Linked DNA regions of Xenopus tropicalis. The protein of the gene in region 1 purifies or fractionates together with the protein of each later gene. This does not show direct contact. Links are inferred from orthologs where the notes say so. Each region holds a gene or a part of one and is shown in the gene's direction. Other genes may lie near its edges.

Region 1 (4,909 bases):
AACAGACTGTAGCTGGGAATGGTGAAGGCTACAATATGTAGAGTGCCTGAAAAAGTATATGAAAAACTTTTCAGTCAACTATTGTCTTAACACCTGCTGACCCAGCCCATCCATACCCAAACAAAATTAGATATATATTCGGCAGGGTTGAAAATCCTACATGGCAAAGACTGCATTGTCACTTTGATGCCATTCTCGTCTGACAAGTCCATGTAGGCTGGACCCACTCCTTATAAACCATTATATTTGTTATAATAAATTAAACAGTATATTTGTTTACCTGGGCACAGTGGACTCTCACATGGAACTTGTAGGGGATCAGTCACCGTTTTGAAATATCCACTATTATAGAGCAAAAGGAAATTGGTCAAACAATAATAAAATGGCATTTCCAAAAGCTTTCTTGATAATGAGTCTCCTTAATCTAGATCCCATACCTGTAAGATTAAAAATGTGCTTAACTACACAATTAAGATTTCAAGTACACTCTGTCCCCTCTAAGATATTTAATAACCAGTCCTCTTTTTAACAGAATATGGTAATTCCTATTGCCTTGTGCTGTTAGTCACTCTGCTCTGTATGTTGCTGTCTAGGCCAAACTTCTGTTATTTTAATTCATAAAGCCTTTGTTTAAAATGAGGCTGAGTGAAAAGCATGGCTCAGGGATAGCAAATGTCCTCTCTGTAATTGGCTGTATGTCAACTATTGATGTACAGATTCTTTTTCTGGGCAGGATGGGCAAATGGCCTCTAATGCAGATTTGGAGCTTGGCAATTGCCATTATCCTGGCTGCTATTGGCAAAGTCATACTGCAGCAGTAAAATGACACCCTTTGTTGGTAATTACTTTGTTCTGCTTCCATAGTTATACCTGCTCAGTAAGTCTTTCCCACATCATATATGCCAGAGACACTTTCCCTTTGTGTACTGCGTGCACACTAATGGTGGCCAGTGTTAACAAGGGTTCATCCATCTCCAGCTGTCCAGCCATTTGCAGTCGGCTGTTAAAGGAGCAGTGCCAGGTTGACAGCTGTTAGAATTTAGTGCATTTTCCCAATTCCTGCACAGCTCTCTGAAAATTGCAGAGTACCGGTAATTGCACATTCCGGATGAGACCCAAAGCTTTTAGCTCCTTATTCTCTTCCTGGTAGTGGAGGGCAGGGTGCTGGCAACAGTTGGCAGGCCCCTTCTTATTCCTACTAGCTGCAGCTTCTTCCCTTTGCTCATTAGGCCGTGCCAGACCACTGTATATTGCACAGTTGGTGTGGGTCTTGGGCAGAGACTGAAGCAACCAGGCACCAGGGCTGTTGTATAGATGATTATTTTTATTGGCCCTGCCTTACTGACAACCAGGGCATGAAACATGATGTTTGCATTTCATTAAAGCAGAAGGAAAGGTATAGTCACTGGGGGGGTGGTTGCCATGTTAGCCACTCTGTGATTCTACTTGCCTACAATGGCCTGCAGTGCACTTGCTGTGCTTGCTGCCATTTTGTTCCCATGTCTCTCCTGCTCACCATGCTTAAATGTGCTTCAGTGCAGCATCTTGAGTTTCACAGCTGCCTTCCTGATCATCTCTCATTGAAAGTACCAATTGATTTTCTTTCTGTTTTGCTTGCAGTAACTTCACTAAGCAGTACTGTTTGTGTTGATTAATGTGTTTTTGTTTTTCAGATGCCTTCTATAAAGCTGCAGAGTTCTGATGGAGAGATTTTTGAAGTGGATGTTGAAATTGCAAAGCAGTCAGTAACAATTAAAACTATGTTGGAAGGTACTTTTTAAAAAAAAATTCTTTGAATATGTATTCTTTATAATTTTGTCCTCTGGTGTGCAGGTCTTCATTTGTTTTTATTCTCCTAGCTTTGAAAGTGTTGGTGTAAAGGCACATTGGGCAATTGAGTGGATTCTCTCCAAAAGCAATCCCTTTACAGAAACAATATTGCTGGGAATTTTTCTTCTATGTAGCATTTGCATGACCTTTGAGTGCACCTGGGTGAACAGACATTTGCAATTGAAATGTCAGGGGTAATTCCAATCATTTTGTCATCCACTTTCAAATTGGGAAATTTCTTGGGTTTGTGGAGGATTATCTTTTTAGGTAGTAGCTCCTTTTACACTGATAAGAGACAGGTACACAGGGTACTTTAGAAAACATTGTTTGTACAATCCAGGATTTGGAAATGATGGAATAAGGGCTTTTTATTAAAAAAAAAAAAAGTTTTGGTGCTGTTCACTACATAACAGGTACACAGCGTTTCAAACTACTCATAACAGCAGTGATCCCAATATAACAAATAAGTAGCAGTCTTGCTGAAAAAAAATTGTCCTCAGAGGAACTGGTTGTAATATTTCTGTTGTGTTTAAATTTATTTTGTGTAAATTCTTGAGAAATCTCTTATTTGACTATAGTTTTAGAACATTGCCTTTCTGTCTAAATTATCTTGGGTTTTTTTTTACATTTTTTTGGCAAGACACAGTTATCAATTAAATGTTTTTAAACAGATCTGGGTATGGATGATGAAGGTGATGATGACCCTGTGCCACTTCCCAATGTTAATGCTGCAATCCTTAAAAAAGTAAGTGCTATTTAGGTAGTGGTTTTACGTATACCCATACTAGAATACTGGATGCAGATTAGAGATTGTTTTTTTTTTTTTTAGAGGTGTTGGTTTGCTGCAGGGATATAATGCAATGTAATTAGGACAAAAAAATTGTACCAGATTCAGAATTGTGTTAATTAAAAAGTTGCAACAGCCTCCCCCCCCCCTACACACACACACACACACACATTATTTATATTTGCTTATCACTGCCAGAAGAAGAACTACTTATAAATGCCAGGGTTTTAAGGCATATTGGCAAGTAAAAAAATAAAACTGAACTATTGGTTATTAGGAACTTCATCCTGCTGTTTGGGGTTTCATATTCTTGAGTTATGATGTATACTGTTTCAGACCTAGAAACACTTGCTCTCTAATTCAGGCAGTAGAGGACATTGCTCCTATTTTTGGTTTAGCTCTTCAAGTGTAGGTTGTTACAAGATTTACTTTTTTTTTTTTTTTTTTTTTTACTAGCTTGAATTATATTAACATATAAACAACAAAATGATGAAATTGAACATATCTTAAGTTTAGCAGTACCACATTGTCTTGGATTCAGGACCTGGCCAACAAATGCAGTCAGTTGTATAAATCATAAAGATAAATACCTATGTACTTTTATTTTCATCAGGTCATTCAGTGGTGTACACATCATAAAGATGATCCCCCTCCACCCGAAGACGATGAAAACAAAGAGAAGAGAACAGATGATATCCCTGTGTGGGACCAAGAGTTTTTAAAAGTGGATCAGGGAACACTATTTGAACTGATTTTGGTGAGGCATGCTCACCAAAAAACCCAACAGCTTTTATAGAACCCATTAGAATTACATAAGTGTATTTCTAGTACTTGTACTTAGTAGTATTAATAACCTTAAAGGGAACCTGCAACTTAAAGTACCACACAGTCTGAAGGTATTGCACACACAACACAGCCTGAAGGTAGTGCACACACAACACAGCCAGTAATTATTTGTGTTTTTGTCCGAAAGAGGTAGGAGAGTTGATATTTAAAAACCTTGCCATTAACATGTTCCAACAAAGTGTGCTTGTTCTCCTGCACTTGAGAGGTAAGGGTGAGCCCACATATATGAAACGTTGTGCATAATTTTGTCCTTAGTGGCTTCAATAAAGGCATCCACATGGCATCTGCATGTTGCTTCTGAGCAATATAGTTTTAACACACATAATTTTATTCATACATTAAAACGTGGCTGCCATTTTACTTGTTAACACATAACACAACAGTTACTAGAAATTTATACACTAATTCATAAAAGATTTTTAAAAATTTACATACACATGTCCATATATTCCTCAGTCAGCATAGATTTAACTTCCAAACTGAAAATGGCTGAAACTATTTTTTTTTTTTTCATCTCAATCCTATATACATAAATTACACTTGCATATTCATATGTAGTGCTTATACGCCACTTAAAGCACGTATGATAACTTTTCCTCATAAAATACCCTTCATTAATTTAGAGCGAGTCCAAAAAGAGCTACTATTTCATTAATATCCATTTAAGGATTTGAGACCAATACTGCACTGCATATTCTAGATGGGGCCTTTGCCAGTGTTTTCTAAAGTGGGAATATGTACTTCCCCTCTGAGTCTGTATACCTTGCTGGCTCTTCCTTCCGCTGACTGGCATTGCTTGCTAAAGCTAAGTTTATTTTCCACAAGTCACCCCAGCTCCTTGCATATTTTGGAATGCCACTTAGCAGGCCAGTCTCCCAGTTTGTCCAGTTCCTCCTAAAGGATGCTACATTCTTGGTGGCACTGATTGAGCTGCATAACTTTTGTGTCATTGTCATAAACATATATTGCTTCTAAGCCAATTCATAAGCTTTTCTGCAGTCTATTGGTACCATATCAAATACAAGGGAGTGTGAGCAAATCAGGGGTGGGTTTGAGTTCTTGCTGGTCAAAAAAAAATTGGGGGCTGGTTTGATTTTGCTTTTTTTTTTTTTTTTTTTTATCTTCAGGCTGCCAACTATTTGGATATCAAAGGATTGCTTGATGTCACCTGCAAGACAGTTGCAAACATGATTAAAGGAAAAACGCCAGAAGAAATTCGAAAGACCTTCAACATCAAAAACGACTTTACTGAGGAGGAAGAAGCTCAGGTATATATTTATACGCTTAAGTTTATTTCCTTTTACAAGTGTGTCAGCCAATATCTCCACTCCAACAAGAGTATTTATTAATGAACCTCTTTTATGCTATTTTCCTTTTAGGTACGCAAAGAGAATCAGTGGTGTGAAGAAAAGTGAAGTTGCATACCTGTTACCACTGTAACACTGT
Region 2 (4,357 bases), on another chromosome or scaffold:
ATTGTAGCAGAAACATTACTGACTACGCTGCTTCAGAAGGCAGAGCCAGAGACTAGAAGAAGAAAAACAAAAACTGAATAAATAATGCATATTGAAAAATTGCCTAGAATTCCAGCTTTTTTCATTATGCAAACATCTGTTTTTGTATAGAGTTCCCCTTTAAAAGTGTTTCAGTCACTAATAGTGCCCCAACAGTGAGCAATCAACAGGCAGCAGTATATGTGCCCGAGAACACTAATATTTTGTTAAACATATTTTGATTTTATGCTATATACTGCGATTGCATGATGTATACAAATAATGCAAAATGTTTAATACAACCCAGATAGAAATGAAAGGGAAATAACATTTGGTGTTCAGTGGGTTATGGAACACTGCCAGCAGATTATTCTTTCATGTTGGGGGCGAGGCATATAAATAAGTGGCTGATTATTTCTAACCCCTGAGGGATGTGCATTTTTTAAGCTTTTTCATGTTCCTTCTCTCCTGTACCAAGCTAGGGGCAGAAATTATTTGTATTAGTAGTGTTTATTTTACATTATAGCTTTTTAATTGTGATTAGTTCTGATCTGAGTGCTAATTCATTTTTTTAATATATATATTTACAATTATTGTAAAATTAGGTTAATTGTGGTGTTGATTTAACTCTCGCATAGTGTGACTCATACATAGTGTGTGAGCTCAGACTGTGCTGTCAGGGGCACTCGATCATCTAATTACATTACTGCAGTGCTGAGGGCATTCCAGCATACACCCTACTGCCGGGAGCAGTACAGGGCTTGCACTGAATCTCTGCTTGACATGTTTAGCATTGTTATTGATGTGTCTGAACTATTCCTTCCCTTACAGAAGAATCCTCAGGTCATGTACCTGGAGCAGGAGCTGGAGAGCCTAAAAGCAGTGTTAGAAATTAAAAATGAGAAGTTACACCAACAAGATAAGAAGCTCATGCAAATCGAGAAGCTGGTAAGCTTTCCAACATTTGGCTTAGGAATATGGAATAATAGCAGCCTTTGTGGTTTAACCAAGTCACCTGCATCACATACATTTGGCTGAATGCCCTCAAAAACCTTATCAATTAGAACTGGCTCTGGTCCCAGGGTTTGGGTCACCTCATCTCGGTAAACTTCAAAGGGAGAATGGAGGAGACCAAGTGTTTTTCCTGGCTAAATAATTGCAAAAACAAAGGTAAAATATTCATGGTCTATAAACCTTAAAAATTATAGGTTTTTTTTGCTCTCATAAAAGAGAAAAAGTTAATGCCTTTAATAGCATTCTTTTATGTGGCAATATTAGATGGTTATGGGAACAAGCACTGTTGGTAGGAAATAACCAATTTGTGTGTGTCTGATACATCTTTCTAGTAGGCTTCCAGTGATTGGCTGCTTGTGCATTACATTAGGAGCATACTCTGCTAATGCTGCTTAGCTTGCTTTTTATTCTCGCTGGGAACTTCTGATATGAGTTTCATGTTGCATTTAAACCATCTCATTCCAGTGTAAGGTTCTACTACATGCTGTTCTGCATTCTGTTTTAAGATTAATGTTTTACATTACATTAACATTTATTTATAAAGCTCCAACATATTCCGCAGCGCTGTACAATAAGTGGGTTACATACATTGGACATACAGAGTAACATATAAAGCAATCAATAACCGATAGAGGTGAAGAGGGCCCTGCCCAAAAGAGCTTACAATCTACAAAATGTTCCGTTCTTTTGCAATACAGCTAGGTGTAAGCATTTGTTTGGCCACATACAGTACCTAGTGTTAGAAGATTGTTACATTAATGTTACATGTTATATTAATACTGTTTGTTTTTTCTCACCCAGTATAAAAAAAAAAGTATATTTCTGACATGACTGAGGATATCCATGCTCACGCATTCACAATTATCATTTCTGATAGTGAAACCTAGATATTTTTCTATTGCTTCTTTTCAATGTGGACATTAAATATAGATTATTCTTTTGTCAAGGTGGAAACCAATACAACCCTTGTGGAAAAACTGAACAAATGCCAGCAAGAGAATGAGGATCTGAAAGCTCGAATGGCGAATCATGTAGCTTTGTCACGGTAAACTTATTCTCCTAATATAAACAAATGCTTCCATTCCTCTTTGTTTTCTGGGTTTATGTCAAAGAGAAATTCATAGGGCACATTACTGAGAAGTGAATATGTACTCTGTGTCAGTAGGTACACTCAGCGGCCACCAAACTAGCACGTCTTTTTACAGACAGTAAAAAGTTTGCTCTTCATGAGAATGTACAAGGGATATCTACAAAGGTATACCTGTGAAGTTGGTCCTCAGTTTGCTTCTACTGTAATGGGAAGGCTTTCCACTGGATGTTGGTGGGATTTGCTTTTATTTAACCATTTAAGATTATTGATGAGGCTGATAACTGATTTTGTGAGATTGGCCCCCATCTCATACTGAGCTAATGCATCCCACAGGAATACGGAAGGGTTAAGTTTATGGCTTTGATCAAGCCAGTCAAGTGTTATGCATGTCTGGAACTCCATCCTGTATGGACCCTGCTTTCTGTGAGGAGCATTATTGTACTAAAGCCCCCCCCCCCCCCCAATTGATTCCCCAAAAAGTAGGAAGCATGGAATTGCATCCAGGTCATTTAAATAGCATTTTGTCATTTGTATCATAGATGTTGATAACAGTCCAGCATGTGAATTGATAGGATGGTTTTCCGCAATAACCAAAAGGCTATCAAGTGTGGGTAATTTTATATTTGGAGAGGAAAGAGTCTCCTCCACAAAACATGTATTATGTCACTTAGGAAGTTGTCGGTATACAAACACTGCTTAAAGACATTAAATGGCACATGGCCAAGACCCCTTCAAAATACAGACTGCCCAATGGAAAGGAGTAGGCCCTATTAAGAAATTTGATTTTGGGAAACTTGGGTAGCAGACCAAGAGACTCTTTCCACATTTCAGCATGCAGTCACTCTCTCTCTCTCTACTGACATTGCTGTACTGTTCTAAAGGGTTAGGGCCAGCAAGCCAAAACAGAAGCTCTGAAAGATAATTTCTTAAGCTTAAGGTTCTACACTATCTCAAAAGGCATGGGGGGGGGGGGGTGGAGTTGGGCATAAAAGGCATAGCATAACTATTAAAAAGGTACCCTCAAAGGGAAAAGTCAATGTATTGAAATGTTTGTTGTATATTTAGACAGGCATATTTATCAAACATGTGCTGTATTTGGGTCCAATGCCACCCTTGCCACTGGACCCTAATACACCCCTACATCATGCGCGTTATGTCACCACCTACGTTGCGGTAGTGATGTAAAATTTAAAAACTAATATAAATGCATCCGAGGGCCATCCCCCAAAACCTGCTGCCCTAGAACAGGCCCTTGGGTGCCTTAATATAAATATGGCCCTTTGTCTAACTTCATAGGTTACGGCATGGGTTACTCCACTTAGAGCCCAACAGAAGAGCATCACATTGCCAGTCCTGCTTTAGGATAGCTGTACTTTTTAAACAAGACAGCTGTAACGAAAAATTGATATAGAAGCAGCTCTGTTTAACTTCCTCTGTATGCCTGGGCAAGGTAAAGATAGCACTATATGTCTAAATATTGCTACAAGGAACTCACTGATCTTCTGATACATCCACAGGCAACTTTCTACTGAGCAGGAGGTGCTGCAGCGATCACTGGATAAAGAATCCAAAGCCAACAAACGTCTGTCAATGGAAAATGAAGAGCTTCTGTGGAAACTCCACAACGGTGACCTATGCAGCCCCAAAAAACTGTCTCCATCTTCACCTGGAATTCCCTTCCATTCTTCACGGAATTCAGGAACTTTCTCAAGTCCAACAGTGTCCCCCAGATGACACTTTTCCAATGCTTCAACACTTCAAGCAGACATTTCAGGAGAGTTCTGGGATATATCTGGACACTAACCATTGAAGTCAAGGCTATATTAGCTACGTTATGATGACTGGAATTTGGGATATGGGTAATGGTTACTGGAAATAAAGGGGGCGATGTTCCTCCTTTAAAGAAAAGACATTTATACTTAAAAACAAAAGAAAAAAAATAACAAAAAAAACTTTGTTGCACAAAGCACTTACCTAGCAAGATACATCTGTTCTTGCATTTTGCCTTTTTTCACCTACAGCGAGTATATAGGGGAAAAAGCTCAGGGTTTGTAGATAAAAGATCACAACCTTTATATAGATTTTCACCTGTAGTATTGTTTTTTCCCCCTTTACGATAGGGTGCGTGTGATGTCAATGTAACGGATGTTTTATGATGTGTGCTTCATGCTGCCTTCTTTGTTCTAAAGGACAATAAAGTTATTTCTGATGGATAGAACTCCCATTTTAAATGAA
Region 3 (4,357 bases), on another chromosome or scaffold:
TTAAGTTTGAGGTTGCCATCAAAAATATTTTTATGGCCGCTGACAAATTTCTTGGATATCACACTTAAACATATGGTATAGTGGCTAATTAGATCTCTCTATGGAGGTAGTTAAACTGCTTTGTTAATTTAAGTTAATTTTGGTTTACTACCGGCTTGTTGCCTTCTGTATTTGATTCTAGTAGAATGTTAGATTGATTCATGCAAATTTCCTTGTTATTATGAGATTCCCATGCAGCAAATCAAATTTTTGAATGTGAAATTATGTCTAGTGTAGTAATTAGGTTGTTTAAATGGATCCCAACCAACCAACCTACATTTTTTGCAATGGGTGGCAGTCAGAGGAGTTTAAATATTATACTGTGGATAAATCTAGGTGAGAAATGTGTTTTGTTTGGGTTTTATCTGATTAGTTTTTATTCATTTGATTTTTTTTTTTTTACAGGCGGAAGGTGATGAGGATTCTTATACTGACAGCCTGATGTCTAATGAAAATGGGAGACCTGGAGAAACAAATCTTCAGGTAAATGATGATGGAGTTAGTGAACTTTGCTATTCTGCTCTGCATTATTCATTTCTGAAACATTTTTAAGTTAAAGGTAGAGCAAGTAATCTGTATACAGTGTACAAATTATGCTTAAATAAGACTTTCCAGGTACTTCATGCAGAATATGCTGTCTTTTAGGAAGAGCTGCAGATGTTTAGAGCTCGTTGGATGTCTGAACTCACACCAGGATTGAGCTCTGGAGGGCTTGAAAATCGGCCTTGTAATGCAGCAGCTAGAGGGCCGGTGGGAAAAGTATCAGAAACCAAAGCAAAGCAGGAATTGGCTAAAGAGGCGAAGGTAAATTTAATATAGTTTACTGGACTGTCCTGCCTGTCAGTTTAGGGCAGCTGGGGTTAAGGTGCTCCTCAGTAGAGGCAGGATAAACCGAAGAAACTTTTTCCAATCTCCTCCTTTCTCCTGTCACACAAGGACCCTTTCTGCATAGTCACAGCAGAGTCTGTTAGCTCCACCTTTGCCTTTGCATCTATGAACTGACATTTGTGTACTCTCTGCTTGTGACACTTGAGTATTGCCACAAGTCACAAAACAGTGACTATGCATTAACCCTTTTTTATGCTAATGTCACATGGGGCGATGTGAGCACATATACATGCATTCAAACAGAAACCAGTATTGGTAAATATGCCCTTCTCTGTCTTTCACAACTATTGGAAAAACTGTGCCTGAAGCACAGCAGTTAAAAAGTGATCTCCACTTAGAAGTGCTCACCTAAGCATTCCTGAGCAAACGTTTTTTTCCACTGCCCCATGTGCATCCTGCATGGCCTTTCCTTTAGTTTGCTATGGGAAGCAGTTATAGGCAGAAATAGGCATTTTGCAATGGCGTTCCAAGTGCTTCATATCAAATTATTTAGAACACGTTAAATATAATGCACCTCAGCTGCAAAACCAAGGAGGGAAACATTAGGGACAGTAGACTTCCTTGTTCAACATAAGTTCATTTAATAGGGCTTGTGCTGAACATACTTTTTGCCTATTATTTTAATCATAAAAACTGAGCTAAGGCGGAAATAAAGCTACTTGTGATATCCTTGTGAAGTAGATAATTTACTGGCATTTACCCCCTCCCTTACCCTATTGCTGTAATGCTGTCTGCAAATGTGTTTTCTAATTTCTGTCCTAAAAAATTCATTCCTTTGTGATTATGACTTTAGCTTTAAATTAATGTTTTTTTATTTGTTAACCTAATCAGGCAAGAGAACTGTTTCTTAAGGCAGCAGAAGAGGAACAAAATGGAGCTCTTTATGAAGGTACTGGCTACTTTTTTACATCTTATCTTAATCGGGTAGTTCACTTTAAATAAACCTAAGAGAGTTATAGCTGGGCTTAGTCTAAGATTTTTTTTTTTTAAATGTCTTAACTATTAGCCTTGCAGTTCTGCAAACTAAACTGTTAAAGGGGACGAAAGATTTAAACTATGAAGGCATGTTATGGTTGTGGTTTTCTCTGAAAAAAGATGTTTGCAAGGGGACCAGATTATTCTTTACATTAGAAGGCATTATAGACAGATAGGAGGTGTTCTTTTTTTTTTCCCCATAAAAGTGGTAAAAATGATTGACACACCAGAAACCAACCCTTAGTTTAAAGCAGAGTAGGTAGTTATTCACAGTGAGGTTGTGGAATTCCCTGCCTGGTGATGATGTGATGGCAGATTGTATTAAGAGTTGCTGGGATGATTTCCTAAGCATAATATCATAGGCTATTGTGATACAAAAATTTACAATTAATATAGATACTGGTAAATATATAATATATATATATATATATATATATATATATATATATATATATATAATATATATATATATATATATATATATATATATATATATATATATATATATATATATAATCAGCCCTTGAAGTGTCTGCACTCTAATGCAAAAAGTATGTATATCACGGGGTGCACATCCAATATTATTATAAACAAAAAAAATACTGCATCCTTGAGAAAGGTCCTGTTGAGGCCTGAGTACAGGTAAAGGATCCACTATCTTGAAACCCATTATTCCAAATTATGGGAAGACCATCTCCGCATAAACTCAATTTTAATAAAATCACTCATTTAAACATGATTTCCTTATTCTCTGTTATAATAAAACAGTACCGTGTACTTGATCCCAACTAACATATAATTGATCCTTATTGGAGGCAAAACAATTCTATTGGGTTTATGTAATGTGTAAATTATTTTTTAGTAGACTTAAGGTATGGAGATCCAAATTACAGAAAGGCCCCCTTATCCGGAATCCCCCAGGTCCCAAGCATTCTGGATAACCGGTTCTATACCTGTATATAGATAGGTCAGTATAAGTGTGTTTGTGTATGCACTAGGGTTTGTTTGGAGGGGTTGAACTTGATGGACTTTGGTCTTTTTTCAACCCAACTGAACTATGTAACACAAATATCAGTATTGTCTGACACTACAAATATGGAATCAAGTGTGTCTGGTCAGCAACAGAACTTAGGCCTGTATTCTAAGTTGGTTTTCTTAACTTTATTTTTAGTTACTCATATTTGAGACTTCTGTTTGTGCAATCCTAAAATCTTTTACCCTTTTTGATATTTTTACAGCTATCAAGTTTTACCGTCAAGCAATGCAGCTTGTGCCAGACATTGAATTCAAAATTAACTATACCTGGTCTCCTGATGGTGATACGAAAAACTTGTATGTACCAAGGTTGAATAAAACATTACAGTTTTTGAATTCTAAATGAATAAAATTTAGTTTCCAGAAATAAATGTAATTTTACTTGACAAAAACCTCGTGATTTTAAGGATTCTATTTCACTTCAGCCAGACACTTTGATTTGGCCGAATCCAAATCCTGCTGCAAAAAGGCGGAATTCCAGATCCTGGATTCAATGAATTCCTTATTTAGCTTTTATTTTCTGGCTAGTGGTACAAGCTCAGAGATATAACAACCTTATAACAGTTTACCATGTCACAGAATATGTCCCTAGTATCGTCCCACCCATTTTTTTCTGTAGAGGCAGTCATCAACTAACCCCCTAAAGATTGCCATGCAATTTACTAACTTCAGCAAAGTTGTATGTGTAAAAAAAACTTAAAATCAAAAGATGTACATTTGTAAATCAAGACAACCTTTTGAAGGTTATTGGGATTCTGTCATGATTTTTATGATAGACTTTTAATTTCTAAATTACACTGTTTACATAGCAGATAATTCACTCTGTATTTTTCTAGTTGTAATTTTGGTATGTAGTCAGCCATTGTGCCTGCTTCTGAACTTTTTGAAGGAAACAATGCTACACAATAGAACTGCTTTTAGATGAGCTATTGTATCCCCTGCTCAGTGTACTCTCAAAAAGACCCAAGTTGCATAATACCAAAACAGGGTTTCTTTGGATTGGGTGCTATTCTCATGTCTACCACTAGGTGGTGAACATGTTTAGCAATGTACATTTTTTTCCCCCCTCTATAATGCTGAAATATTCTCGAGCAATTGAGAAATCTGCTTTTTGTAAGGGTAAGGGGTTCGGGGTGTCAGAAATTATTGCCTAATTGTATGGATCTGGGGCTGAAGTTCCATCTGCTTCTCACCGTGTTTAATGTATTTTGGGTGCCACTGCCCTCTGTGCATAGTGTATTTTAGGATCTGGAGTTAATTTTCATAAAAGTCAATGTGCCATTATTTACAAGTGCATACTGTGTGTATATATCTATATATCCTTTACTGTACAAGCTAATTAAGGCAAATGGTACATGTGGTAGTTTTTCCACAGTGTATTTTAGTTGTAGAGAAATGCCAGAAGCCACCCTAAATTATT
Region 4 (4,357 bases), on another chromosome or scaffold:
CATTAAAAGTAAAAAGGATGGTGCTCTTGGGTAGGTAATGGAGAATGTTACTACCTCCACTTCATCAGTGGGCTGTGGCCATAGGCTAGGCTATGGTGTAGAAGTTGGTTTTGACCCCTATCTATTTTTTACTATTTCACACCCACACATGGGATGGTTAATGCCCTCATTATCTGCTTAAGTATGGGTGCCCTATTATTTATATTGGCTGTTTCAAGGTTAGGTATTGAGAGGAGACCTAATTAATGACAGAATAGATTTGTCATCCAGAAACTAGGCTTATCACTAACTAAAAAGGTACATTTTCAAAAAAAAGCTTTTAAAATAGCCCCTTTGTGGATTTTCATTGGTATGGCCTGAGCACTTTTGTAGACCCATCAGGCCAACATCTGATCTGGTGCATTGAAGCATATCACCAAGTATATACAAGTTTGTGGCTCATATGAAAGTGTGTGTTGTAGTCTCCTGTAATCAGTTTTAATCCCAAACACATCTTGTGGGCATACAGAAGCTGCAAAATGAGTCCCTACATAATGCCTTGCAGTGCAGTAATCTCATTGGATGCAAAATATGTTCTGAATACATTCAAAAAATTCCTACTGTTTAATATTCTTCTCATATAGGTGAAGACAGACACAGTGCTGATAATGTGCAGAAAGAAATCTGAGAATAAATGGGAATTCCTAACACAAGTCGAGAAACAAACAAAGGAAAGAGAGTAAGTATCTTTACGATTCTTGGATCGTTTACAGATAAATTCAGTTTTTATCACGTGTTCATGCTGGAAGCTAATTTCCTTCAACTAGCACTCCTCAAATGATGGTACCTCCGACGACTCTGTTTTTAATATACTCATGTTCTTTCAATCAGCATGGAAAATACATAACATATAAGGCATTTTCATCTCTGTGAAAGGTCAGCAATTAAAGCTATATGAAAATGGTGTCTGCTTTTGGGAACAAACCAAAGAACTACTGGCTAGGAAGCTGCCTCACTATCCTATTGGCCATCCAAGCTTGTCACTGCCAACATAATTGAGGTTGCTGTTCAAGTTTAGGTATAAATCTATAAAGCTGGCTATACATGCACCAAAATAATTTTAAGAAACATAAGGGCTGACTAAGGTGCGTTAAAACGAGCGCTATTTATAGCATGCGTTAAAAATTTTGTCGCGTCTTAACGCATGATTCACTAAAAGGATACTTGCGTTAATTTAGACGTGATGCTGTTTGCGTTAAGTCACGAAGACTATTTTTGTGCGGTATTTGACGCAACACGCACAAATTGTCATCGTGCGAAAAAACGCTAGCCATACACGCCATTACTTTCGTAAAACTACTTTTTAGAAAATGACCATTTCCCTGCAAACTGGAGGCTGCATCACTCTAGGGCCAACACATAATTACCGCCTGCCCCAAGTAGGTGTTAATTTTCCCATAGACTAATGCGATATTTAGCGCGTCTAAGGGGCACATTTACAAAAGCATGAACGCTCGGAGCGTTCATTCAAACGCTCCGAGCATATTTTTGCCGAATTTTTCGGGCGTCCGCACAACTTTTTCGTACGCTTGCGCGAAATAAACAGGCTTTACCGCTGTTTACAATGGTTCGGTGCGTAAATTTTGTGACTTTCGGATCGCCAATACGATATTATCGTGACTAAATTTTCATTTCCAATCCAAATTTTTCCCATTCGGGATTCGAATTTGTGGATTAGTAAATCTGCCCCTAAGGGGCTGATTTACTAACCCACGAATCCGACCCGAATTGGAAAAGTTCCGACTTGAAAACGAACATTTTGCGACTTTTTCGTATGTTTTGCGATTTTTTCGGATTCTGTACGAATTTTTCGTTACCAATACGATTTTTGCGTAAAAACGCGAGTTTTTCGTATCCATTACGAAAGTTGCGTAAAAAGTTGCGCATTTTTCGTAGCGTTAAAACTTACGTGGAAAGTTGCGCATTTTTCGTAGCGTTAAAACTTAACGCTACGAAAAATGCGCAACTTTTCGCGTAAGTTTTAACGCTACGAAAAATGCGCAACTTTTTACGCAACTTTCGTAATGGATAGGAAAACTCGCGTTTTTACGCAAAAATCGTATTGGTAACGAAAAATTCGTAAAGAATCCGAAAAAATCGCAAAACATACAAAAAAATCGCAAAATACCGATCATTACGAAAAAAACGCAATCGGACTCCATTCGACCCGTTCGTGGGTAAGTAAATCAGCCCCTAAGTGTTTGTGAATCATGCATTAGTATTATTTCTGCGCGCTAATTAATGCAATGCGGTAAAATTAACGCGTTTGGTTGTGCACTATTTAACGCACGCGATATGCAACTTAACGCATGCGATAATGCGCGTTTTTTTGACCGTCAATTTTAACGCAAAAAACCATCCAATAAGCGTTATCGCACTTTAGTAAATCAACCCTATAGTTTCATACAATTTTTGGACTGTGTGTGGTTGGACAGGTTAGAAAATTTCAGGCAGATAATATCTGCGCATGTATTATGTGCATTTGCAGGAAGTCACTTTTGCACGATTTGTGTCTGCCAACTATTTCATGTGCAGAACATCCTCCGATTTGTTATTTTTAGGACTTTATCCTACAATTTCATACTGAATATTAGTTTTTGATAGTTGCATTTAAGCGTATGATCAATATCATTCGGCAGTAGAAGACTAAAATCTGAATGTAGCTTTTTATTTTATTTATTAAAGAAACTACAAACATTCCTTAAACCTAAAGTTTAAACAAAACACAAAAAATTAAAACAGTAATGTTATAATAGCTCAGCTGGACTTCACACTAGTGAAACAACTATGCACAGACGTACTGTATTATGACTTATCTGTGAAATAGGATATTGTAACATACTGTATTTTTTTCCATTACAATTTTTTTTCTGACTCCAAAACCAGTTACCCAAATTTGCTTCCAACTCCACAGCTCTGATTTTTATTGTACAATGGATCTAAGTTATTTTGAAGATTATTTTGATCACTTATTTTTTATATTTGGTGTTCATTGTCATGTTTTTGTATTTTAAGTTCAGTGTAACATAATTTAAATCTTTTTTTTTTTTTTTTAGGAAACCAGCACTAGACACAGATGGAGACCCAAGTGCAGGATTAATGAATGTCTTAAAGAAGATATATGATGATGGAGATGATGACATGAAGAGAACACTTAATAAAGCTTGGGTAGAATCACGAGAAAAACAAATGAAAGGCGATCCTGAATTCTGAACATAGACTTCTCAGTGCTTACGCCTTAAATGATGCCTACGTCCAGGAACAGTCCTCGTTTTAATGCCTGGAGAAATTATCTCTTCTTACAAGTCTATTGTTTACAATTCGCTTTCCTGACATGGAATTCGCTGCTGTTGCATTTCATGCCAATTAAGATTAGAAACTGCATGGTTCATATGCCTGAAACATTCATTTGTATACCTCTATCTTCCTTTCCTAGTAAAAGTTTTGAATGTCTGTCCTTCTGTCTTTAACACTTAACAGGCATATGCGTAGGGAATATGTATACATCTCTCATAAGAGGCTGCTTACAGCTACAGGTGTATTTATGCACCAGGGACGCCGCTCACTTTGCATGAACTTATATGCAGAGTAAATTTGGCCTCAGCCTGCTGTCATTGAAAGGTTAAATGTGAAAATCTGTTAAAATATCAGGTTACAAATTGTTTATTAAAGAGACCCATTTCAAACAGGTGTGCGGGTCTTTGTTTTACAAACTAATGTACCTTACTTGTACACTGTATAGCTTTTCTAGATCAGACAAAGAAAATTAGTGGTGCACTAGTACATACCATTAAGAATGAAAGAAAGCATCAAGAATGTTTATGGGAATCCCTACCCCTACATCCCCAAAAGTGTTGAGCTTTAAAACATTAGAAATCGTGAAAGGACAAATAAGGTTAAACTTAAAAACATTAAAAAAAAAAAACTAGATATAACTATATAAGTTTAAGAGGCAGAACTCTCACCACTTAAATGATTTGTAAGTTTCAGAAGTGCTCAAAGAAGCAAAGTTTACATCAATTCATTTTTTGGCTTTAGATCCCCTCTAGGGAGGATAGACCATACAATTCTGCCCCATACTTTCCCACTGCCACTGTTTAGTTTCCATCTTTATGTGCCATTCACCAATCTTAAGGGAGAATGACTTGTGATAAATTCAACAAATTACAATATTAAAATGTTAAAAATTCTACCTCAATTATCTGCAATTCTCTATAAGAATCCTAACTTTTCTTTCTCTCCCTCATGTGGATCAGGGGATGTGAAAAATGGAAGATTGTTTTGACACTTTTTACTCATTGGTAGTGGATATGTAACC
Region 5 (4,357 bases), on another chromosome or scaffold:
CCCAGTGTATCATTTCACCTTTTGTACCAAGACCAATGACTATTCTTACCCTTAGCCATGGGAAGTTTGTAATTCAGACCAAATCCTGTACTGCCTCAAGAAACATTTATGGGTCACCTGCTTGACTAAAATAAGTATGAGTGTGTAATTAGTCGAGGTGTTGCCACAGAAGGATGGTAAACCATTGTGTGAGGAGTTAACTGTTGCATAGGGACACGAAGAACTGCATCAACTCTATTTATTGGTTCTGTTTACATCCTTTGGATCCTTTCACTTCATGAGGGCCCTGAAAAATTCTAAAGGTAGGCTGACCTGTGGACCAAGCAAATGTATGTACTTGTTGTGTGCTAAAAGGTGTACATGGGAAAAATCATCTGATGCTCTGAGAATCCAATGGCCACCAGCTCCTTTTTGTGGCTGGGATCTCCCACAGTAGTTCTTTGATAATTTAATATTAAAGGCAGTGGAAAGGAATGGTAAAGTGGAACACTATAACTCGGGGAGAAACGTATTTCTGACTTTGAGCACTTTATTAATTTGCTTTAGTTTTCTCTGTAAGCCCCATAAACCATAGAGATGACAAACCCTTTGCAATGTTGTACAAGATTCTTGCATTGGCATTGTTATGTTAAGAAATTTCCAGGAAAAAGACAATTTTACTATGTCAAAATAAACAGTGAGATTTGCTTTTCTTTTCCTGGTTGTTATATCAGTATTGTGAGCCAGACAGCCAAACTGGCTTGTATAATGAACTCCTGTTTGCCTCAAAGTCTAACAGACGCTTCAGCTGGTGGATTAAAGGGGGTTTGTTTATGAAGAGGTCTTCTCAGTGGGCTGGTAATTTGTCGACTCACACTTTGGGCCTATTTTTTTTTTTTTTTTTATTTACCTTCTTTGTTTTTTATAGAAATCTATGTAAACAAATACTGGAAACACATTTTCTTTCTAATTCCTCTGGGAACAAGTAATGGCCAGGTATTAGTGAAAGGAACTTCAGGGACTGTTATCCCACTTCCCATGGACAGCCCTAAGAAAACAGAAATTAATGAATAAAAGGTAATCTTTAAACTGGGGACAATTCTAGTGAGGCTTAACCATCTAAATTCCTATTAAATTCACATACACTATGGCCAGTTTTATCAGGAGCCAATTAACCTGTCTGTATTAAGAGTGTGGGAGGAAACCAGTATACCTGAAAGAAATACATGCAAGCATAGAGAGAACATGCAAACTCATTGCAGATGGGGTCCTGCATGGAATCAAATCTAGGCCCCCGGTAACATGCTATATTTTTATAAATGTAAAAACTTTTGTTTCTTTGGCCCTAAAATTGGGGTTTGTCATTATGCGTATCTGTACAACAATGTGACTGCTCCCCTTGCTATCAGGCTTGGTACACAGAAGTGTGCAGTGTAGTGCTGAGATACCAAATGAAACGATTCCATCTGATTCCTCTCTGCAGGTCATTATGAGATACTGGAAAATATCTCTTAGAAGTGAATTTCGTGATGCTAGACCAGGGGAGGTTAAAGAGTCGCACCAGGACTTCGTGGATGACCCAACGCTGCAAGGTAAGCAGGAGATATGGTGATAATATAAATATATACAGCGGGTACATTCTAGAGCTAGGATGCACAGCAGTGATTTCTAGTTAGTGTCTCTGACACTTTTGCCCCTGTGCAATTCAGCTGTTAGGGCTACAGGTTTAATAAGTGCCAATTTAATCTGCCAATTTGGGTCCTTCAGACTGTCTTGGTAGCTTATAGCTTATCTGCTCTTGTATGGGGCCCTCCCGACTGACCTACCCGACCCGATATCTGGGCAAAAATCATCCAGGTGTCAGGGCAGGTTTGATTTTCGAAATTCATCAGCTTGTTCATGCGCTCCTTGCTCTGATGGCTTGTAGTTCCTTTATTGTAATGCAGGCCTTAGAAAAGTGGCCTAATATTGCCCACCTTAGGAGAAAGATCCCCTCATTTAGCGACCTCGGCAAACACACAGATCTAATAGTGCATGGCCACTATTAGCCCATAAAGATCAAACAAATTCCTTAGGAATGTTAAGGTGCTTGCCATCTGTCAGCTCTGTTGGCTGATGAACCCCAGTTCAAGGCAATGATATGTATGTGTGTCAGTATTATCCAGAAGGGATGACACCATGGCAGCTAGTGACCCCCAAGGCAAAAACAGCAGAGTAACTGGACCTTCACAAAAAATCAGCCCTTTAGACCTGTTGAGTCATCATGCATATTAGTGGCTTTCTTGCGATTGTCATTGCCTTTGGCTCTGAATGTTAGGGGAGCAGCTAGGGTAACAGTCTAAACTGTGAGTGGGCCAGACTACATAAGAAGCCAGCCCATGTTATTAGCTGCAAGGTGTAGCCATGTAACTCAATGCTGATATTACCAGGATTCAACCCATCATGACAAAGTTGCTCTGGTTGCACACAAGGAAACCAGATGGATGAGTTACTCTTTATGTGGCTACTGACACAATTAAGAACAATAAATGATTCCCGTGTTTGTCACATGACACTCGCATGACTGAATGCGAGAGACGTTTTGCTGCTGTATATTCAGGTAATGTTGTATCCTAAATTAGAATCTAAACATGTAATTAAAATGCTTGATGTAGCATTGCCTCCCTAACTGCTTAGGGTGTGGTGTGTAGGTGTAGAGAGGTATGTCTCCCCATGGTTGCACTGCTCTGTTCCTCAGGAATCTCATTGGTTGTTTGGTCTCTGGAAAAGATATAGTGACAACATGGCAGTGAAAATATTTTCTGAAAGCTCAGCACCAATTTTCCTAGATCCATGTGTGCCATTGTCACAGCAATTCCCTTTCTTTCCTAGATCCATGCCCAGTGAGCTCTGTGCCAGAAACTGATTGCAGCACCGGCTCCAGCAAGCACAGGGTATAATAGGATAAAGAGAACAATACGAGGATGTGATGCTTGAAATAAAAATATTCAAAGAAAAGCAAAATACTTGACTGTATTAACAAGATATCTGGAGTTCCATACTTTAGGAAGACTCTAGGGGTAATTTTTTTATTCCCTGTGGTGCAAGTGTTAGAGAAGGGCAAAGTGTGATTTTCGCCTTGTGCCGCATTAACGTGTTCATCTGAATGACACCCAAGTGCCTCCCACCCATCACCAATACAACTCTGACTAATGCAATAAGCACTGTATCTGTGGGGGGAGACACAGGGCTCTGCACCCTGAAACAGAGCATAGGGACCTGCTGCAATACAGGGCATGCACAATTTACAATGCAATACTTTGGCAATACAGGACATGCACAATTCAGTGTGCCTCCATGTAGTGCTTGCATATATTCCCTTGCTGTGCAGTAGCCACAGGAGCTTTTCTAAGGATCTTTCTACAGAATAAATATGTACATTACTTTGGTAAATGTCTGTTTATGGCAGCCGGTACTTTTTCCATTGCTAAGAATGCGCTTATTGTATGTTGTCAATGTGGCTCTTTCTTTGGCAGCTGCAGAGCCCATTCTCCAAGTCGGCCATTAATGAGAAACAGCTTACAGAGGGGATGTTATTGCAGCCTTCTTATGTAGCTCATAGCTCTATGGAATGGTGGGTTGTACATGAATATAAAGTTGGGGGCCAGCAATATGTAGAATATAACACAATTAATGACACTGTAACAGGGGGTAAAGTTTTAGCAACATTTATTCCCCCCATATTATAATTTTTATAGCGGATCAGTGCTTTACTCTCTGGTATCGCTCTTACTTTATTTTCACTAAGGGTTGCACGTTTGTCATTGCCACCAAATAGCTGAAACGAAAGTTCTGCTCACCACTAAATATATTTAGAATATATGACAATTATGAGGCTAATTTGGCATAAGATGGTATCTGATTATAGAAAAACTAAGGTCGGCTGAGTGTGGTTGACAGCCACAATTTGTTTGCCAAAAAACAAATATGCTGTGGGAATGTTGTATCAAGTCCTGGGCATTGTCTTTTATTAACAGGCTGGTTACAGGGCGGTAGGGTGAAGGTGGTTCAAATGAGGCAAAGATATTTCCCATCACACATTGCTCAGGGTATTAAGCTGCTGAGGCGATGGGGTATTGGGGCAGAGGAGGTTGCCTCAGTGCCAATGAAGAAGATATACTGTAAAGTCTTTTCATGATCCCGTTGACAGAGATTGTCTCAACAACACTCAGCAGCAGGTTTTCGGGTATCTGAGTGGTACAAGGTTACCGGGGAAGTACTTTGATAACTCCTGGCTGTCTCTGCGAGGTAAACTGTTAGTCAGGGGCAATATGGAGTATTTTACACACAGTGAGTTGGGAGTGTGGGGAGGAGGAGAGTCAGGAGCACTTCTTAGTGG
Region 6 (4,357 bases), about 18 Mb from region 1:
ACCAAAAATGCATTGAACGCTTGCTTTCAGTATTTACTGCATTTTATAATGAGCAGGGATTGTGGGGGTGTGGTACAGATATTCACTGAACGATGGAATCATCTCTGCACCCAGCAAACCTGCCTATATATTTTATTAAAACTCTTTTATTAACTGTATGTTTCTAGAGTCTCCATCTCTGAAAAGCAAGAAAGCTGTGAAAAGGAAGCGTACAGCAGACAAATCCACGAGCACCAGCGACCCTGTTATTGAGGATGACCATGTACAGGTAAAATAGCCATTCATTATTCATCACATGCATTTTTCTGATGACTTAAGGGCATGCATCATAAACATTTTACTAGTTAACCAAAAAAGCAGATTTATGTTAGCAATAAGTAGTATTTGTCCTCAAGTGGGAACTGTCGTTACTATACCAAATGCAAACTGCAGTGGTTGTTTAAAAAAAATCTGCTTTACAACTAGTTCTTTCTTACAGTTTCTACAGACCAGAGAAATCAGAAAAATCATTCATTGCATCATGCTCCATCAACCTTACAGTTTTCACATGGTGCAACCAGTAGCTTCTGCTTACGCTCTGGGACTCACAGCAAGACTGAGTTTTTTTTTGCAGCAGGAAAAAAATGAAAGGTTGATGAGGTAACTTACAAAAGAATAGAGTATTGGAAAAGTCTGCTCGTGAAATAGACTTATAAAAACACACTACAGTTAGAATATTTTTATGAAAATGACAGTTCCCCTTTATCAGGACCTTTATAACAATTGGTGTAGTTGTTGATCCACAAAGCAACTAAGCAACAAAAAACATAAAATAGTCAACCATTCTACCAACTGATCAATTTAACTCTGTAAATAACATGATCATATTACCTTGGCAGACAAAGCAGCAGGATTGCTACTATTAACATTGATTAATTTAAATACACAGATAACGATCTCCCTGCTGCGTAACCTCTGCATGTGGTTTACTGAGCATAGATTTAAATACAAAGTAGACCATATAAATAGTTTAAAAGGAGAATAGCAGTAAAATTAACTCGTATCAGTGGAATGGTTGGTGCTGCTGAGTTCCCCACTTTGAAAGTGAATGCTATATTTTTATTAATGCTGGCTTTCATACATCATTATCACTCTGTCTGAGCCACAGATGCAGCTAAATTTTTACTTAGGTGTATCGCATTGAACCACCATGTTATTTTATTTAAAGGAAACCTATACACCCAGTATGAATACTTAACCAACAGATAGTTTATATCATATTAAGTGACCTTTGACATCTTCTACCTTGAGCCACCATTTTGTGATGGTCTGTGTGCTCCTTTAGAGGTCACCTGACAGGAAGTAATGCAGCTCTAACTGTAACAGGAAGAAGTGGGGGTAAAAGATAGTCCGTTAATTGGCTGATGAGGTTTAGCATGTATGTTTGCCTCGGCTTGTTTGTGTGCACCGTGAATCGTTTCATTTAGGAGTACGCAATGGCACATACTACTACAAAAGTATAGTTTTATAGAGACCTTTGTTGTCCGGGGGTATAGTTTTCCTTTAAATAGGCTATCGGACCATTTTTTGATTGGGATAAACACTGACATGTTATTGTGTTTATGCTTTATGTGATGTCAAAATAAGGTTTTCTCAATCTCCAAGTAATATAAATACTTCTTTTTATAATGTATTTTCTTATTCAGGTGCTGAACCTCAAATCAAAAAATTTGGTGGGCATTACACTAACCAACTGTGGAATCACAGATTTAGTTCTTAAGGACTGTCCTAAAATGATGTTTATCCATGGTAAGTCCATCTTTATTCTGATATTTTGACCTATTTCTTTGCTTAGATTATTTATCAAATCAAAGTGATAGTGTAAGAACTACACCTAAAACTAAATACAGTTGCATGGCTAAGGCGCCACGTTGGGCAATTTTTTTAAAGGGGATCTTTGACTGTGAAATAATTCCAAGTTCTATTTAGTTGGGAAAATAAGCTTTATTTACATTGTACTCTATATAAGTTATGTAAATCTTGTCAGTCTTATGGAATCCACTACTAGAGCATAAAGGCAGGCGCCATTTTGAGGAAACTGAGGATGCTTTGCATTATCCCATGCCAGAAATGAAAACCTGATGCACAGACACAGGATGGGGTAATAGTCAGTGAGGGGGATTTGATTAGTGGAGTGACATTAAGGAAGTGCAGAAATGAAAGTGAATGTAATTGCTGTGCCATAAGGGGCAGGGCAGGCAATATATAATTGACAGCTGACTTTTCTTAATGAATCTATAACAGGTATGGATGTTTTAATAAAATAAAAAGAATGTGGGTTTCTTGTTTAATTTTAAAAGGGCTTTTATTTTACAGCTTTTTATGTTTGGGTGACAGGTCCCCTTTAAATGTCTGGTTAAGTTGTGCGGATCGATTATTTACCTTCAATAGCCACTACATTTTCTTCCCTGGTGTGGTATATTCCCATTGAAGTTACATTCAGGACACTGATTAGAGCCATAACCACCTGGCTATTACTCTGAAATAGTATTCAGTTGTGGGTAACTAAGTACCAGGTGCTCAGCTGAACACAGTTTGACCTAGTGTGCGCTGCTGGTAAGCCTTTGCATCACCAAATCATAGTTTAAACCAGCACTTTGTCAGCTATGATATAGTACTAAAGGAAACTATTTTTAATGAAGTAACCCTTTCTGGCTTATATGTTGTTTATAAAAGCCTTTGGGAGCATAACAGTATGTACAGAGGCCTGGGGTAGCAGTGTGAGAAGCAAAATTGAGCCTTAGAGCGGCGCGTGCTGCTATCGGAGCTGTAAATGCCCTTGTTTTAATATCTAGGTTTGGTTTTTCAGCTACACGATGTCGTGTATTGAAGCACTTGAAGGTAGAAAATGCTCACATTGTAAATCGGTTTGATTATGCACAATGTAAAAAGCTGAATATGGAGCAAGTATTGGATCAGATTCTCCGGATGCCCCCTGAGAGGAACCGTATCATTTATCTGCGGCCCATGCACCAGGTAGGTGACTTAACAGACTGTAAAACAGTATTGTTTGGTTATTCTTACAACAACTGAACTAGGAGGGCATCTTGTAGGCTTCATAAATAGTTTGGAGAGAAAATAATAGCTCACTTTTGGGTGTCTAAAAATGCTGTTGTGAGGTGAATCTGGTGACTGTGTTGCAAAATGATAACCATTTAAACACAGATTAACAGATTCACAAATGTTTTCATAAGCACCAGGATAAAAGCCATATGGTTTTCACCAACATTACAACAAAGCCAAAAAGCCTTTAAGCAGTTTAAACATCAAGGGGCAATTTGCCTTAAAATAATAATTTTAATGTGATTTAGGCAGTAAAAAGATTTGCAGCTAGACTTAAGGTTGCCACGTGTCTGGTATTTATCCACCCTAGCCAGTTACTCACCAGCTAGAGGGCCAGTGTTACGAAATTATCAGCAAAGTAAATTTGTACTAAAGCATTTGGTTACATTTTCTTTTTATTTAATTTGTTTTATGTAACTATGCATCTTCTAGGTTGTCTTTCAGAATAATGCCTGGTTGCTATTGTAAGTGGAACCCTGGCAACTAGGTAATAGACTAAATTCCAAGCTGAAGATTTGTATAACAAGAGAAAAAAAATAAACACCACAGCTAATAAACATAACATCTGCTTTAAAATTCCATATTTTGATACATACCAATAAACATAGATACATACATACCAATACATCATAATAAAAGTTAATTTAAAGGTGAACTCTCCTTTTCAGTATTCATCAGTAACGCATACATCCTGAAGCCTGGCAAACTGGCTAAAGCCTGGCAGACTTGTGTTAAGATTCAGTAACAGGTGGCTTGCCACATTCTCAGTGTTTGTTTGACTAGGAAGGTTTCTTTAGAAGGTAATAGTACAGATGATTGATTCAATATCCATTTGCTGTTTTCTATATAAGTGTTTTTTTTTTAATGTAAATGATGTGTGGGTGCGAAGTCTCAGGGACACATTAGAATGATAAATTCATAGAAGCAGAAAAGGAAGATAATGCCTGGATTGCCAAGAATGAAAGATTTGTATTGATTACTCCTAAACTGAACATAATTGTTTTACTTTGAGTTTAAAATTATGTGTGTAATAAAGGATAATGCTAACATACAGTTGTTGTGACACCTGCACAATATAGTGATCTATGAAATTCCAAGCATTGATTAAATGGAGGATGTTGAATGTTAATATGCATTGCTTTTTGCGATTGTCTTGAAAGAATTGTGCTTTTCTATCCTCGGCTCTTTGGCAGAAGGCTGGTACTTTGCTGCCGGACACATACAATCATGGCCAAAATTGTTGGCATCCCTGAAA
Region 7 (4,789 bases), about 38 Mb from region 1:
TTTTTTGTTTCGTTCCAATACACACTAAAGGGAATAAACATGTGTATAGCAAAACACGTGTAACTGCAATACTTTTCTGTGAGAAATACTTAATTTTCTTGAAAAATTTCTGGGGTGCCAACAATTTTGGCCATGACTGTATATGTTTAGATTTACATTCTCTGCACTATTGGTTTTGATTCCTGAAACAATTTAGCAGAAAGCAGCTGATTAACATCTACAGGAAATCTGATTTTTTTTATTTTTTGAAGAGTCAAAACCAAAGAAGAAAAAGTTCAACAAACAAATATTTCAATTGCAATAACATTTACAAATAACTTTAAAACCTATCATGCACAGAGATGATTGGTATATTGCAGAAGCGCCATTACAGTTATTAAAGTGATGGTATTTTACAAAATATATAATCTGACAAAATCACTTTTACTTTCCATTCTGTACTCCCAAATCAATGCCAATTCCAATGTCAATGCCCTCCTCACATTTTCCCTTTCAAATAACTGTCTATAATTGTGTCTGTGCATTGGCATCAGGTCCCCAATTCTGGCACATACACAAGATTTTAAAGGTGATACAAAGTTTCCCTTAATAAAAATGTCCACAAAATTGTGCCTGTGCTTGTGACTGTAAATTGTAAGAATGAATGAAAGAAAATGTAAAGTTTATTTTGCTCAAATAAGACAAAAGAATTTGGAATTATTTCTTAAGGTGACAGGTCCCCTATTAAGACCTTACCATTATTCCTTTTCTCATTATTATTCTGATGTCTCCCAAAACATTTTAAGTTCTTTTTAGCAATGTTGTATAATGTCCCTTGAAAGCATATATTTATTTTTCTGTTATTAGGCACATATCATAATTATGATTTTACCTTTAGTTCCTTCCCCCTGTAATAAGTTTATAGCTATTGAGCATTGTATAAACAACCCCCACCCATAATCAAATAGCTACAGTTTCTGTGAGGCTTTCTGATTGGGGGACTAGTGATTTAAAGCTGCATTTTTCTCTTTTACTGACTTATTCACCACCCTCACCAGATGCTTAGGAGAACCACAGGAAGTTGTAAAGTGAAACTGCTTTTAGTTTAGTTATTGCCCTATTGTGTAATACATGGCAACAATATCGCTTAATTAAAACAACTGGGAAAAGTATGTTGAGTACAAGCCCCGTTGAATGCGTCTGTGTTAAACATGCGGATACACAACTCCTCTAAGTTTGCTGTTTAGCTGAGAGGCCCGGCTGCCTTAGCCTTGCATTGCTTTGGCTCAGTATTCTTTAACTCCATTACTGAGGTAGAGACAGAAGAAGAGCCACGGTCCTTTCAGCTACAGTCGTTTGTGTTGATTATGAGACAACCAGCGGTGTTTGCCAGCGCTTCCTCCATCACACGCTACGTGCGCCTACATTTGCCCTGCGCATTTCCTTGTATCCCCGGGCAGATTTCCTTTATGCTCGGACTTTTTCATGTGCGCTTTCTTTTCCATAGTAATGCCGACCATAAGGCAGCCCCTTACGGCCTCTTCTCCGCACATACATCAAGCAAAGTCGCTTTAGTTTTCCAAGCGGCTCTGGTATTGCTTTGTCGGCCTGTTATTGGTCGCGCCAGGTCACGTGTTGCGGTGGACAGCTGGCTGCGGTTGATCGCGGTCGGTGTAGGCGCCCACTCCCGCCTCATAGCCCGGGCTCTCTCCCCGCTCGGCCTGCGCTCAGCTTCCTCTGAAGCAGCATGGGAGACAAGAAGAGTCCGACCAGGTAAGAGCACGGCTAAAGCAAAAAAGGAAGTAGAAGCTGGTGAGAGGCTGCGAGGATTGCCTAGGCAATCTCCTTTTCACTGTGTTAGAAGCGCCCGAGGCCGGGGCTAGGGGAACAGGCCGCCTTGTCAGCGTGTATGCCCTTGTCTCTAACAATTTCCTCTTCCCCCAGGCCGAAGAGGCAGCCGAAGCCTTCATCAGACGAAGGATACTGGGACTGTAGCGTGTGCACTTTTAAGAACAGCGCCGAGGCCTTCAAGTGCCTGATGTGCGATGTACGCAAGGGAACCTCTACCCGGTGAGCGAGCCCGCCACACAATAACAGCACAGCCTCCTCACTTACTGACATTGTCTTCTTAGCCAGTCCCCACAATACCGCACTTGCCTCACAATTCTCACAATACCGCACTTGCCTCACATGCCGCACTTCCTATCCTGTAGTAACATTGCTGCTGCTGCTACACAATAACAACACATCCGTTTGTCTGAAACAAACAAGCACACCTTCTGCACGGAACATAAACACACAGCTCGGATGTGAACACATTGCAAGCAAAACACCAGCGCACAAATGGTTAACGAATCCCTGCAAGTATAGTAATTGTGATATATTACAGAATCACTTTAGTTCTCCTGTAATTGTGACATATTACAGGAGAACTAAAGTCATTCAAATGGCTATGCTGTTACCCCTGCCCCTACCCCTGTCTTTGGAAAACGCACTGGACTGCAGAGTGTGTAGTCCCAATCCTCTGTGCCAATTATGTTGGGTGCATATACAGTACAGTAATCACCCCTTTCCAGGGAGCTGCAGCGGATGCTGGGAAACAGGCAAGAAAATGGAGGCAACTGTCAAGTAGTCTGGGACAGTGTGCTTTCTAATGAAGACAAACACCAGTGCAGGGCAGCAGGTTAGAGATTAAAATTATATTTTTACTTTAGTTCTCCAGCAAAGACAAAAATATTTAGTGAAACGGCAACAAGATGCTTTTCCTACATAACACCACATAATAAAAAACAGCATCACTTTCAGTTGTCCTGACACAAGGAAAACTATACCTTCAGAATAATATGATGAAAAGTATTTGTTGGGTATTTAAGTGGCCTATTTAAGAATATTTCCAATCTGGAGCATATATATCAGTAAATATTACCCCTTTTACCTTAAGCTGCCGTTTTGTGATGGTCTGTGTGCTCCCTCAGAGATCACCTGGCCAAAAATATTGCATCTCTAACTTTAACAGGAAGTAGTGTGGTAGTAAAAGACAGAACTTCTGTTAATTGGCTGGTATGATGTATGTGTGCCCCATGAATCATGAAAATCATATAATCTGGTGTGGTGGTAGCCCTTAGTACTTAAAATTCCAGTTTTCTATTTTGGAATGACACATACTACTAAAAAAGGTTATTTTTCTAAAAATGGTTTATTTAGATAAAGTAGAGTTTTATATGTTAGCTGTTTTTTTTAATAAATATATAAGAAGTCCTCACGACAGCACCTCACTCCAAAATGCAATTAGATAGCCACCCTTGTGCACAGAATACAAAATAAAACACAACCAGCACCAAGGGTCTTATAGTTCAAACAATCTCAAGTGTATTGCATGTATAACCAACGTTTCAGTCCCTTTTCGGACTTTTTTCGAAAGTGTCTGTTATACATGCAATACACTTGAGATTGTTTGAACTATAAGACCCTTGGTGCTGGTTGTGTTTAAGTTTATTTATATATCCAAAAAAGACCAGCAACACCGAGTTATATTCCAAAAACAATTGTGTATTAAAAACGCATAAACAGCCACAATTGATTGATTTTGGAATATAACTCGGTGCTGCTGGTCTTTTTTGGATATTTAAATCATTTACCTTGCACCGGAGCTAAGAGCTGAAGCAGAGTGCCACCCTGGGTTCACTATATATATATATATATATATATATATATATATATATATAATCTCTTAGGTTTTTTTTTTTTTAAAGAGACCTACATTGTTCTGGGGTATGCTTTTCCTTTAAAGGAACAGTAACACCAAAAAATGAATAAAAGTAGCCAAAATATAATGTGCTGCTGCCCTGCACTGGTAAAAGTTGTGTGTTTACTTCAGAAAGTCTACTATAATTTATATAAATAAGCTGCTATGTAGCCATGGGGGCAGCCATTCAAAGGAGAAAAGGCACCAGCACATAGCAGATAACAGATAAGTTCTGTAGAATACAATAGTGTTTTATCTGTTATCTGCTATGTAACCTGTGCCTTTTTTCCAGCTTGAATGGCTGCCCCCGTGGCTACACAGCAGCTTACTATATAAATTATAGTAGTGTTACTGTAGCAAACACACCAGTTTTACCAGTGCAGGGCAACAGTGCATTATATTTTTATTACTTTAAAGCTCTTGCATTTTTTGGTGTTACTGTTCCTTTAAGCCAGAGGTATCTCCCCTGTGGCTAGGGCTGTTATCTGATGGTAAAAATAGACTTTGTCAAAAGGCAAAATATCCCTTTTGGCAAAAGGGATATTAAGGAAAGGGCAGTTACATTTATTGGTTTCTCAGAAAAAGGTGTCCTTATTGTTGAAATGCATCTGATAGTTTTAAACTTTTAAATTAAGCTCCATTGTTTCAGTGTCAGTGCCTATACACTGGCTGACCTACCAACTGCCCCATTATTTAGTTTGGCTATCCGCTTGCTAAGAAGTGACAGCAGGAGTAGTTTTCAAAAATGATGAAAACAGCAGCACTCCAGTTGTTTTGAAAAATGTGAATCTTTACTCAAGTTCCAAAGGCAACGTTTCGGGCTTCAATCCAGCCCTTTATTAAGCCTATTAGTACAAATACAAACAAGTGTTTAAATACCCACAGGAAGAGGAGGATCAGTCCATATTCACCTCCATTTAACCCATAATATTCTGTGAATATATTTAGTGCACACAATGAAATGTAGTAGTTTTCAATCCAGATAGAGCAACTAAAATCCAGTAGGATCATTGGATTGTCTGTTGAAAGTGATTCCTGATTATCCTCCTGTGTAAGAACTAAAGT

Evidence for each region.
Region 2: the proteins of skp1 (region 1) and mtus1 purify together in Homo sapiens (affinity purification with mass spectrometry; 3 studies listed by BioGRID and IntAct, with this or other methods). This does not show direct contact. The link is inferred for Xenopus tropicalis from reciprocal best matches to the Homo sapiens genes SKP1 and MTUS1.
Region 3: the proteins of skp1 (region 1) and fbxo9 purify together in Homo sapiens (co-immunoprecipitation; 9 studies listed by BioGRID and IntAct, with this or other methods). This does not show direct contact. The link is inferred for Xenopus tropicalis from reciprocal best matches to the Homo sapiens genes SKP1 and FBXO9.
Region 4: the proteins of skp1 (region 1) and cacybp purify together in Homo sapiens (affinity purification with western blotting; 6 studies listed by BioGRID, with this or other methods). This does not show direct contact. The link is inferred for Xenopus tropicalis from reciprocal best matches to the Homo sapiens genes SKP1 and CACYBP.
Region 5: the proteins of skp1 (region 1) and fbxo36 purify together in Homo sapiens (affinity purification with mass spectrometry; 3 studies listed by BioGRID and IntAct, with this or other methods). This does not show direct contact. The link is inferred for Xenopus tropicalis from reciprocal best matches to the Homo sapiens genes SKP1 and FBXO36.
Region 6: the proteins of skp1 (region 1) and fbxo38 purify together in Homo sapiens (affinity purification with mass spectrometry; 6 studies listed by BioGRID and IntAct, with this or other methods). This does not show direct contact. The link is inferred for Xenopus tropicalis from reciprocal best matches to the Homo sapiens genes SKP1 and FBXO38.
Region 7: the proteins of skp1 (region 1) and yaf2 purify together in Homo sapiens (affinity purification with mass spectrometry; 3 studies listed by BioGRID and IntAct, with this or other methods). This does not show direct contact. The link is inferred for Xenopus tropicalis from reciprocal best matches to the Homo sapiens genes SKP1 and YAF2.

The regions. Positions count from the first base shown.
Region 1 is NC_030679.2:26,567,216-26,572,124, forward strand, and holds the start of skp1 (S-phase kinase-associated protein 1), read left to right. Parts: upstream 1-1,671; 5' UTR 1,672-1,673; coding exon 1,674-1,770; intron 1,771-2,501; coding exon 2,502-2,575; intron 2,576-3,230; coding exon 3,231-3,374; intron 3,375-4,590; coding exon 4,591-4,731; intron 4,732-4,842; coding exon 4,843-4,878; 3' UTR 4,879-4,909. UniProt on the Homo sapiens protein: Essential component of the SCF (SKP1-CUL1-F-box protein) ubiquitin ligase complex, which mediates the ubiquitination of proteins involved in cell cycle progression, signal transduction and transcription.
Region 2 is NC_030677.2:42,488,091-42,492,447, reverse strand, and holds part of mtus1 (microtubule-associated tumor suppressor 1), read left to right. Parts: intron 1-849; coding exon 850-966; intron 967-1,979; coding exon 1,980-2,077; intron 2,078-3,639; coding exon 3,640-3,856; 3' UTR 3,857-4,357. UniProt on the Homo sapiens protein: Cooperates with AGTR2 to inhibit ERK2 activation and cell proliferation. May be required for AGTR2 cell surface expression. Together with PTPN6, induces UBE2V2 expression upon angiotensin-II stimulation.
Region 3 is NC_030681.2:96,846,717-96,851,073, reverse strand, and holds part of fbxo9 (F-box only protein 9), read left to right. Parts: intron 1-444; coding exon 445-522; intron 523-684; coding exon 685-843; intron 844-1,758; coding exon 1,759-1,816; intron 1,817-3,140; coding exon 3,141-3,234; intron 3,235-4,357.
Region 4 is NC_030680.2:98,121,302-98,125,658, forward strand, and holds the end of cacybp (calcyclin-binding protein), read left to right. Parts: intron 1-623; coding exon 624-718; intron 719-3,095; coding exon 3,096-3,252; 3' UTR 3,253-3,721; downstream 3,722-4,357. UniProt on the Homo sapiens protein: May be involved in calcium-dependent ubiquitination and subsequent proteasomal degradation of target proteins. Probably serves as a molecular bridge in ubiquitin E3 complexes. Participates in the ubiquitin-mediated degradation of beta-catenin (CTNNB1).
Region 5 is NC_030681.2:129,211,160-129,215,516, forward strand, and holds part of fbxo36 (F-box only protein 36), read left to right. Parts: intron 1-912; exon of another isoform or gene 913-1,056; intron 1,057-1,462; coding exon 1,463-1,571; intron 1,572-4,357. UniProt on the Homo sapiens protein: Substrate-recognition component of the SCF (SKP1-CUL1-F-box protein)-type E3 ubiquitin ligase complex.
Region 6 is NC_030679.2:44,521,316-44,525,672, reverse strand, and holds part of fbxo38 (F-box only protein 38), read left to right. Parts: intron 1-167; coding exon 168-268; intron 269-478; coding exon of another isoform or gene 479-639; intron 640-1,685; coding exon 1,686-1,788; intron 1,789-2,848; coding exon 2,849-3,015; intron 3,016-4,357. UniProt on the Homo sapiens protein: Substrate recognition component of a SCF (SKP1-CUL1-F-box protein) E3 ubiquitin-protein ligase complex which mediates the ubiquitination and subsequent proteasomal degradation of PDCD1/PD-1, thereby regulating T-cells-mediated immunity.
Region 7 is NC_030679.2:64,862,005-64,866,793, forward strand, and holds the start of yaf2 (YY1-associated factor 2), read left to right. Parts: upstream 1-1,631; 5' UTR 1,632-1,726; coding exon 1,727-1,752; intron 1,753-1,923; coding exon 1,924-2,049; intron 2,050-4,789. UniProt on the Homo sapiens protein: Binds to MYC and inhibits MYC-mediated transactivation. Also binds to MYCN and enhances MYCN-dependent transcriptional activation. Increases calpain 2-mediated proteolysis of YY1 in vitro.